3 linked regions of the Sus scrofa genome follow. Each later gene encodes a partner of the first gene's protein in a complex. Links are inferred from orthologs where the notes say so. Each region holds a gene or a part of one and is shown in the gene's direction. Other genes may lie near its edges.

The links. The genes of interacting proteins can lie anywhere in the genome.
Region 2: the proteins of RHOA (region 1) and ARHGEF28 are in contact, whole or in part, in a crystal structure (PDB 6BC0), measured with the Homo sapiens proteins. The link is inferred for Sus scrofa from reciprocal best matches to the Homo sapiens genes RHOA and ARHGEF28. Residues at the interface, in NP_001300870.1 of Homo sapiens: Arg5, Val38, Phe39, Glu40, Asn41, Tyr42, Val43, Glu54, Ala56, Trp58, Arg68, Leu69, Leu72; in NP_001171164.1 of Homo sapiens: Lys1140, Ile1142, Arg1144, Glu1145, Val1146, Ala1147, Asn1148, Glu1149, Phe1154, Ile1156, Ala1158, Ser1159, Ser1160, Pro1163, Glu1164, Met1165.
Region 3: the proteins of RHOA (region 1) and ARHGEF25 are in contact, whole or in part, in a crystal structure (PDB 2RGN), measured with the Homo sapiens proteins. The link is inferred for Sus scrofa from reciprocal best matches to the Homo sapiens genes RHOA and ARHGEF25. Residues at the interface, in NP_001300870.1 of Homo sapiens: Arg5, Tyr34, Pro36, Thr37, Val38, Glu40, Asn41, Val43, Asp45, Glu54, Trp58, Asp59, Ala61, Gly62, Gln63, Asp65, Tyr66, Asp67, Arg68, Leu69, Leu72, Pro75, Asp76; in NP_891992.3 of Homo sapiens: Tyr163, Val164, Glu167, Thr171, Met174, Tyr175, Asp178, Cys253, Lys256, Pro257, Glu260, Ser264, Arg275, Arg281, Leu282, Asn285, Asp286, Ile289, Lys290, Val292, Gln293, Arg294, Met296, Lys297, Gln299, Leu300, Leu301, Cys327, Pro330, Lys331.

The regions. Positions count from the first base shown.
Region 1 is NC_010455.5:31,928,708-31,932,207, reverse strand, and holds part of RHOA (transforming protein RhoA), read left to right. Parts: intron 1-113; exon of another isoform or gene 114-129; intron 130-2,705; 5' UTR 2,706-2,707; coding exon 2,708-2,863; intron 2,864-3,500. UniProt on the Homo sapiens protein: Small GTPase which cycles between an active GTP-bound and an inactive GDP-bound state.
Region 2 is NC_010444.4:83,033,254-83,036,753, forward strand, and holds part of ARHGEF28 (rho guanine nucleotide exchange factor 28), read left to right. Parts: intron 1-2,376; coding exon 2,377-2,631; intron 2,632-3,500. UniProt on the Homo sapiens protein: Functions as a RHOA-specific guanine nucleotide exchange factor regulating signaling pathways downstream of integrins and growth factor receptors. Functions in axonal branching, synapse formation and dendritic morphogenesis.
Region 3 is NC_010447.5:22,876,726-22,879,027, forward strand, and holds part of ARHGEF25 (rho guanine nucleotide exchange factor 25), read left to right. Parts: coding exon 1-83; intron 84-205; coding exon 206-301; intron 302-363; coding exon of another isoform or gene 364-380; coding exon 381-457; intron 458-622; coding exon 623-689; intron 690-878; coding exon 879-982; intron 983-1,160; coding exon 1,161-1,230; intron 1,231-1,348; coding exon 1,349-1,438; intron 1,439-1,535; coding exon 1,536-1,628; intron 1,629-1,798; coding exon 1,799-1,849; intron 1,850-2,038; coding exon 2,039-2,116; intron 2,117-2,276; coding exon 2,277-2,302. UniProt on the Homo sapiens protein: May play a role in actin cytoskeleton reorganization in different tissues since its activation induces formation of actin stress fibers. It works as a guanine nucleotide exchange factor for Rho family of small GTPases.

The DNA.
Region 1 (3,500 bases):
AGGGGTCCAGTCACAGCTGCATCCACTGGCCTATGCCACAGCTGTGGCAACTCGGGATCCAAGCCACGTTTGTGACCTACACCACAGCTCATGGCAACACTGGATCCTTAACCTACTGAGTGAGGCCAGGTATTGAACCCGCAACCTCATGTTTCCTAGTCAGATTCGTTAACCACTGAGCCACGACAAGAACTCCTACTGTTTTTTTAAATTTAAGAACATTCAGCAGTTTTAGCTCCTATGTTTGGGAGTGTAGTCCATCTTGAGCTAGTTTTCATCTGATGTGAGCTCTAATTTCCTTTCTTTGCATGTATCTATTCAGTTGTCAGTTGTCTGAGCACCATTTGTTAAAAACGCTGTTTCTTCCTCCATTGAATTGTCTTGGCATCCTTGTTGAAAATCACTTGACCCTGAATGCAAGGGCTTATTTCTAAACTCTTCAGTTCTACTCAATTGATCTGTGTGTTTTGTTTGTTTGTCTTTTCTAGGGCCGCACCCGCGGCATATGGAAGTTCCCAGGCTAGGGGTCTAATCTAGCGGGATCCAAGCTGCGTCTCTGACGGCAACGCCGGATCCTTAACCCACTGAGCAAGACCAGGGATTGAACTGAAATCTTCATGGTTCCTAGTTGGGCTCATTAACCACTGCTCCACGATGGGAACTCCAATCTATGTGTTTTTTGTTTCGTTTTGTTTTGGGGGAGAGTGTCTCTTTAGGGCCACACTGCAGCATATGGAAATTCTCAGGTTAGAGATCAAAGCAGAGCTACAGCTGCCGGCCTATGCCACAGCCATAGAAATGCAGGATTCGAGCCACATCTGCAACCTGCACAGCAACTCATGGCAACACAGGATCCTAACCCACTAAGCAAGGCCAGGGATTGAACCTGCATGCTCATGGATACTAGTTGGGTTCATTTCCTCTGCGCCACAGCGGCAGCTCATATCTTTTTTTTTATTATTATTATTATTAAAATATAGTTGATTTACAGTGTTGTGCCAGTTTCTGCTGTATATCTGTCTGTCTTTACAACAGTGCAACACTTTCTTGATTACTGTAGCTTTAGAGTAAGTTCTAAGATCAGGAATTGTGAGTCCTGCAACTTTGCTCTTATTCAAGATGGTTTTGGCCATTCTGAGTCCATTGAATTTCCATTCTCTCTTTTTTTTTTTTTTTTTTTTTTTTGGCTGTTCCCCCAGCATGCAGAAGTTCCTGGACCAGGAATCGAACCCAAACCACAGCAGTGACAATGCCATATCCTTAACCTGCTAAGCCACCAGGGAACTCCCTCCATGCATATTTTCTGATCACTTGTCAGTGTCTGCAAAGAAGCTAGCTGGGATTTTGATAGTGATTGTGTTAAATCTGTAGATTAATTTGTAGGATATTCCCATTTAACAGTATTTAAGTTTTCAGAGTATGTTTTGTACTTCTTGTGCTTAGTTTATTCTTATTTTATTCTTTTTGATGTTATTGTAAATAAAATCTTAATTTCATTCTCAATTTGTTCATTGCTAGGGTATAGAAATACAATTGATTTGTTTTGTTTTGTTTTGTTTTTTTAGAGCTGCATTAGTGGCATATGGAGGTTCCCAATCAGAGCTGTAGCCACCGGCCTATACCAGTGCCACAGCAGCGTGGGATCCTAGCCATCTCTGCAAACTGCATCACAGCTCAGGGCAATGCTGGATCCTTAACCCACTGAACAAGGCTAGGGATCAAACCCGCATCCTCCTGGATACTAGTCGGGTTCGTTAACTGCTGAGCCACAATAGGAACTCCGCTTTTTGTGTGATGACTTTGTATCCTGCAACCTTGCTGAATTTATTAGTTCCGATAGTTTTTTAGTGGATCCTTTAGGATTTCCCATGTATAATATCATGTCACCTGCAAATTAAGATAATTTTACTTCTTCTTTTCTGATCTGAATGTCTTTTATTTCATTTTCTTGCCTAATTGCCAGAACTTTTAATATTATGTTGGATGGAAGTGTCAAGAGTGGACATTCTTGGAGTTCCCGTCATGGCTCATTGGTTAACAATCCAACAAGGAACCATGAGGTTGCAGGTTCAGTCCCTGGCCTTGCTCGGTGGGTTAAGGATCTGGCGTTGCTGTGGGCTGTGGTGTAAGTCCCAGGCGTGGTTTGGCTCCTGCGTTGCTGTGGCTCTGGCTGGCGCCTACAGCTCCGATTTGACCCCTAGCCTGGAACCTCCATATGCCATGGGTACAGCCTTAGAAAAGGCAAGAAAAAAAAAGAGTGGACATTCTTGTCTTGTTCCTCATCTTGCAGGACAATTTTTAGTCTTTTCACCATTAAGTATAATGTTAGTTATAGGTTTTTGATATGACTTACTGGTCCTAAGTGGAAAGGTATACTGGTGTTTTATTTTCTTTTTTTTCCCCCCTTTTTCGGCCACCCCGTGTCATATGGAGTTCTCAGGCAATCCAAGCTGGAGTTGGAGTCTACGCCACAGCTGTGGCAACACCATGTCCTTAACCCGTTGCACCAGGCTGGGAATCAAACCTGAGCCCATGAGCAGTAGAGACACTGTCAATCCCATTGAGCCACAGCAGGAACTCCAGCATTTTGTATTTTGATGTGTTAATAAAGGCTTGTGCCACATGGCCAGAAAAGTATTTGTCATGGCCTGAGACTATTATGGCTTCTTGTGCATTCTAGACAACACTTTGATTTTATGTTTCAGCAATGGCTGCCATCAGGAAGAAACTGGTGATTGTTGGTGATGGAGCCTGTGGCAAGACTTGTTTGCTCATTGTCTTTAGCAAGGACCAATTCCCGGAGGTATATGTACCTACCGTGTTTGAAAACTATGTTGCAGATATCGAGGTGGATGGAAAGCAGGTGAGTATACTTTGCATAACAATTGGTACTGTTTTGCATGTTAGGCTATTCATACAGCCTGTAGAGAATTAGGCCTCTTGGGGGGGGGGGCAAGTTGATCCACTTTTAATAATGGAGTCAGAAGAAAAATCTGGTTTTTCCCCCCAAATCCCACTCCCCCCCCCAATTATTTGGGTTAACACATTTCAGAATTTTAAGTAAACAGTTGTTGCAGCTGGGTGAAGGTAGCCCTGTGTCCATCCACCAGGAAGCGCTGTCATTATCTGCACTGCCATCCAGCTCTCAAGGGGGCTATCAGACTCCAGCAGCCTGGGTCTGCTCTGTAACTATTTCAGAGCTCCAATTTGCTCCAGGCGGGTCAAGAGCTCCCCTCTCTAGTGCATACTTACTGGATCAGTGCATGCATCCACCTATACACGCTTTACCAATAAAGACCCAAGGTACTGTTCTGGCTCCCTTGAGCTGTTGGAGATGATCTTGAATCTCGTTGGTGTCACTGGTAGCTGTGATATCGACAAATTCCAGAAGCCCTTCTTTGAAGGGCAATTGGCTGAGGAGCTCCTGGGTCTTTCTGCAGAAGGGACAGGTGGGCTTGATGAGAACTACCGCCATATTCATATGTATTTCACATTGGGAA
Region 2 (3,500 bases), on another chromosome or scaffold:
TGGCTTCTGCATGCCATGGGCACAGTCAAAAAAAGAAAAAAGAGAAAGGGGAAGGCCTCATCATTTTGTTCTTAGTAAAAGAATGAAAACAAAATCAAGACTTTCAGTTTGTGTTACAGTTATATTCTCTCTGTCAGATGGTGTTAGGTCAGTTCGTGCCCCTCTGAGAATCATCTCACGCCAAATTCCAGGTAGAATGCATGAACGGATTGCCTGCTGTGTGTTGGAAATGAGAAGTGTGACTTCCTCAGATAGGGTGGTCCTAGGGGCTGAATGGACTGCCATCTCCTTAGTTCGCTTGGATCTTTCCAACCAGTTCTCTCTCTGGCTTCTGGGAACATTAATTCATGTGGCTCTGTTGTGGCGGTGCCTTTCGAACTTGAACTTGATACCCTTCGCCTGGGGACCTTGTTTACACAAAGACTCTGATTCAGTAGGTCTGAGGTAGAACCCCAGGTAAGCCTTTCTAATGAGACTCCCAGGTGGGCCTGATGCTGCACATTCTGTGCAAGCTGTTATAAGACAGTAATTTGTCCCCGAAGATCTGCAGTCTCCAAGCCTTTTCCTGGCCTTACTCTAAGTCACCTTGTAACTCAGCTTTGATTGGATTATCTCTCCTCAACTTTCCTATACATGAAATATGCTCTTTAGAAAGAAGTACCTTTCTTTTCTTTTCTTTTTTCTTTTTTTTTTTTTTGGAAGGGCAGCTGCTTAGTTGGGTGGCAGGTGGAGTAATGTAGTGAAATAAAGGAAGTGTATTCTTTCACGGGCAGTGGGAAAATCTTCCTTGTTAACAGTGGGTGTCACAATCTGTTCCTTGGTTTCCTGACAAAGCCAGCGTGCATCTTTTGAAAACATTTAGAGGCTGGATCATTTAGACCCTTTGGAGGACTTGTTCTTGTTCCACTTTGCTGCTATTTCTGTTGCTCTAGACTCTAGAGAATAGGTCATTTGCTCTGTTTTTCTTTTCTCCTCTCCTTCTAGGATTTTTCTGATCTCCCAAAACTTTCCCTTTTAGTTCCATTCACCTCAATAAACATCAACTACCTGGGGGTTTTAAATCAAATATTAAAAAAATAGCTAAATTTAGTTTCATCTGGACCTCCAGGAGATTGTATCAGAAACTCCTCCAGAATTTTTAAAAAATAATCTAGAGATAAGTGATTTGGCCAGTATTTCAAGGAGTTAACAACTGGCATGATGATTATCTACTTTTTTTTTTTTTTTTGTCTTTTTGCCTTTTCTAGGGCCGCTCCCCTGGCATATGGAGGTTCCCAGGTCCAAACAGAGCTGTAGCTGCCAGCCTATACCACAGCCACAGCCACAGCAATGCGGGATCCGAGCCGTGTCTGCAACCTACACCACACACAGCTCACGGCAACGCCGGATCCTTAACCCACAGAGCGAGGTCAGGGATCGAACCCACAACCTCATGGTTCCTAGTCGGATTCCTTAACCACTGAGCCACGGCGGGAACTCTGATTATCTACTTTATTGGCATGAGCATGGCGGACTTACGCACTCAGCACCCTGCCTTGGTCCCATTTTTTTTTAGGTTGAAAAATGTTTTAATATATATCATTAACATATTTATCTTTATGCTAATGCAGTACTAAACTGTAATTTTGAATATTATTATTTTTTGGTCTTTTTAGGCCTGCACCCGTGGCATATAGAGGTTGCCAGTCTATAGCACAGCCACACCAATGCCAGATCTGAGCTGCATCTGCAACCTACACCTCAGCTCACGGCAGCACCAGATCCTTAACCCACTGAGCGAGGCCAGGGATCGAACCCACAACCTCATGGATACTAGTCAGGCTTGTTTACCACTGAGCCATGTCGGGAACTCCTGAATAGTATTTTTTATGGAGAAAGGGAGCTAGGAAGGCAAATGAGTTGAGGACCCATTCAAGTCACCCTGCAGTTCCCTTTCGGGAAAGGACTTGAACTTGGGCTTGTAGCTCAGTTAAATTCTAAGAAGCTTGGTGTGGGGATTATTGGAATACTTATTATTTTCTGGGAATATTATTGTCTGGGAAGGTGGAAGGAAAACTGAACTTGGGATATAACACATTCACTGCTCTAGGGAGGAAGGTCAGACCTGTCTCTGGAACTCCTGGCAATCGCATGGTCACAGTGTTTCAGATGAAGCATCTGATAAATAAATCTTCTTAATGACCTATTTTAACCATCCTTTTAGGGAGGAAGGGTGTAGAGTGAAGACAGAGTATTTGAAGTTAATCCAATATTTCTGTTACAGAATTTTTTGCTGTCTGGATCATATATTTAACTGTATTTAAAACTAAAGAAAAAGTATCTTCCTTAGAAGACTGGCTTATTTCATGGTGTTTGTTCTTTCTTTTTCCCATGCAGAGAGCACTGAAGAACAGAAAGACTTATGCAAAGCTCTTTGCTTAATTAAAGACATGATTGCAGCCGTGGATTTAAAAGTCAGCGAGTATGAGAAAAAACAAAAATGGCTTGAGATCCTAAGTAAGATCGAAAACAAAACATACACCAAGCTCAAAAACGGCCACGTCTTTCGGAAGCAGGCGCTGATGAGTAAAGAGAGGACCCTTCTGTATGAGGGCCTTGTTTATTGGAAAACTGCAACAGGTCGTTTCAAAGGTACAGTGGCTGGGACAGGCCAATTTCTCCCTCTTTCATGCACCTGATTCATTTAACAGAAGACAGATTACAAAAACCAAACCAAACCAAACCAAAAACAAAGAATGTTTCAGCAATGCAGGCACACACACAAACACCGGGTCAGTGGAAAGATTCCTGTAGGATTGAGTTGGAAAGGTCAACAGACCAGGGTGCCCCAGGCTATAAGCTCTTGGGGGCAGTTTGTTGCCACAAGTGAAGGGCTTCTTAGGTATTGTGTGGGTTTTCAAGTTTGAGATGTTTGAGTCAAAGGAACTGAGAATTCTGCTAATAGTTGGTGCAGAAATATTATTCAGGCAAATGTAGTGTGTTGAAAGTGCAGTGGTACACATACACACCCGGAGTGTGTTGTGCCAAGCGAGCCTGGGGCTCAGACCATCGAGGGGAGAAATGAATTTGAAACATCATCCTTGGGACTGAGCAATGTAATGCATAAATATACATGCTGATGTGGATGTGCTGTTTTCTGTTGGGCATTAACCTCCTAATCTGGTTAACGTCTAAAACAGTTTATTCTGATCCTTTAAGGGCTGACTCTGTAGCTGCACCTTGTCTGAGACTTTCTCTACCCTGGCCACTGGACTTAAAACCCTAGAATGGCCTCTGGAGTGTAAAAAATTTACAGACGCCCAAGTCTCCTCCCAGAGGTTCTGACTTTATTGATGTGAGGATGAAGCCCAGGCATAGGGATGCTGAAAAGTGCCTATGTGAGTTTGAAGGCAGGATTAAGCACAGCTGGCCTGATTTCCTTGTTTCTAATGTATCTTAGTAACTTCCTTAGGTAAGCAATGAGACGAAGAGGTTGCTACATTCCAAGTACCCCAAGGTTG
Region 3 (2,302 bases), on another chromosome or scaffold:
GCCTAAGAAGATGGTTGGATCATTCCAAACACTGTCTCAGTGTGGAAACTGAGGGAGATGGTGGCCAGGCTGGACCATACGAGGTGAGCAGGGAACACCACAGAAGCATGTAGGACATCCACAAAGGACCCTGGGAGAGAGGGCATCCAGGGGGCCACTAGTCACTGGGGAGACACAGCTACTGTCCCTGACTTCTGGCCCCCAGAACTGGATGCTGGAACCAGCTCCAGCTACAGGAGAGGAGCTGCCAGAACTGACCCTGCTGACCACCTTGTTGGGGGGGCCTCAGGATAAGACGCAGGTATGAAGAAACGAGTCTGGGCTAGCTCCTCTCTCCCAAGAGCGTCCATTTGCTTACTCTAGGTTGTTCGTCCTTCCAGCCACCTGAAGAGGAGACTTTATCCCAAGCTTCTGAGAATGAGGAGGAACAGAAGAAGAAGGCTCTGGAAAGGAGTATGTAAGTGTCCGCACACTCTCCCTTCCCGAGACCCCTCACGACTTCCAGATGTCTGTCTCTCGCATTTTAGATCTGAGACTTGAAATTTCCTCTGAGGTTGGCTGTAGGAACCAAGGGGCTTCTAGTCCAGGAGGGAGGAAGTGGCTTAACCTGTTCTCTTCCCAGGTATGTCCTGAGTGAACTGGTAGAGACAGAGAAAATGTATGTGGACGACTTGGGGCAGATTGTGGAGGTAGCTCCCTTCTTCCTTCCCAGCCCTGGCCCTGCCCTTTCCCTCTCCCCAGGGCTAATGTTAGGGGATGCCTTGGTGCTCCTCTCTCCCACTTTCGCAGGCTCCCCTACATCCTGGACTTCTTGGGGAGGGGAGGTTCCTGCCAGGGCTGGCATCACACACAGATGCTCCCACCCAACCTTCCCACAGGGTTATATGGCCACCATGGCTGCTCAGGGGGTCCCTGAGAATCTCCGAGGCCGTGACAGGATCGTGTTTGGGAACATCCAGCAAATCTACGAGTGGCATCGAGAGTGAGTGGTGGATCCCTGAGGGCGAGGGGGAAGGGCATTTGTCTGTATCCTACCCATGGACCCAGTGTTGCTTGAAGAATGTCTGGAGAGACTTGTGGGGGACACTACTAGGGCAGAGAGCTCTGGATTGCTTGGGGTGAGGGTGTTTGACCTGCCTTTTCCCTGCCTACCGGTGCAGCTATTTCCTGCAGGAGTTACAGCGGTGTTTGAAGGATCCTGATTGGCTGGCTCAGCTATTCATCAAACATGTGAGCCTTGAGAGGGTGGGGGCCCAGGAGAAGTGGGCTCTGGGAGTGGGTCAGGGCTCTCTGGCGATATGCCCTCTCGTCACTCACTCTACTCTTTCTTAAATTTCACCCCTGTTAGGAGCGCCGGCTGCATATGTATGTGGTTTACTGTCAGAATAAACCCAAGTCCGAGCATGTGGTGTCAGAATTTGGGGACAGCTACTTTGAGGTCAGTGGCCGAGATGCCTTGGGGGAAGGGGAACAGAATCATCAGCACGAGCAGGCTTTCCAGGCTGCAAAACCACTCTGTCTGTCCCTGTCCCCAGGAGCTCCGGCAGCAGTTGGGGCACCGCCTGCAGCTCAATGACCTCCTCATCAAACCAGTGCAGAGGATCATGAAATACCAGCTGCTGCTCAAGGTCAGGGCCACCTGTTCCCTGGGGGCACAGCTGGCTGGGATGGCCCTGTCCTCATTCATCTCCCCAGGGTTCCTCAGGCTCCCTGCCCAGACTTCCTGAGGGTCTGCACTTGTGTCCCCAGGGCAGGACGTCCTCATGGTCTCCCTGAGCATTTCTTTTCTGTGTCTTAGGATTTTCTCAAGTATTATAGTAGAGCTGGGATGGATACCGAAGAGCTGGAGGTGAGGACCCCAGATCTCATGGGACACATCATGCCCACCTTATCTTCTTCGTGTCCTGGATTCCTCCAGCTCCTTGGGTGGTGTAGAGCGGCCTCATTTTTAGGAGGAGGCTGATTGAGGGTCGAAACATGGTCCGATGAGGCCTCTTTCCCAACCATGACCATGTTCCTCTCTTTACCTGTGTCCCAGCAAGCTGTGGAGGTCATGTGCTTTGTACCCAAGCGCTGCAATGACATGATGACCCTGGGGAGACTTCGGGGCTTTGAGGTATGAGGCCAGAGCACTCGTGAGGTCCTTACCGGGAATTGTCCTCTCCTGGGGCTGACCCCATGGTTGGTTGGAAGTGTCAGGGGAAGGAGGGAGGAGCAGAGGGTTGCCCCTTTTCTCTTTGTGTGTTTTCTCGAAGGCCACTCTCCTTTGGTTTTAGGGCAAACTCACTGCCCAGGGGAAGCT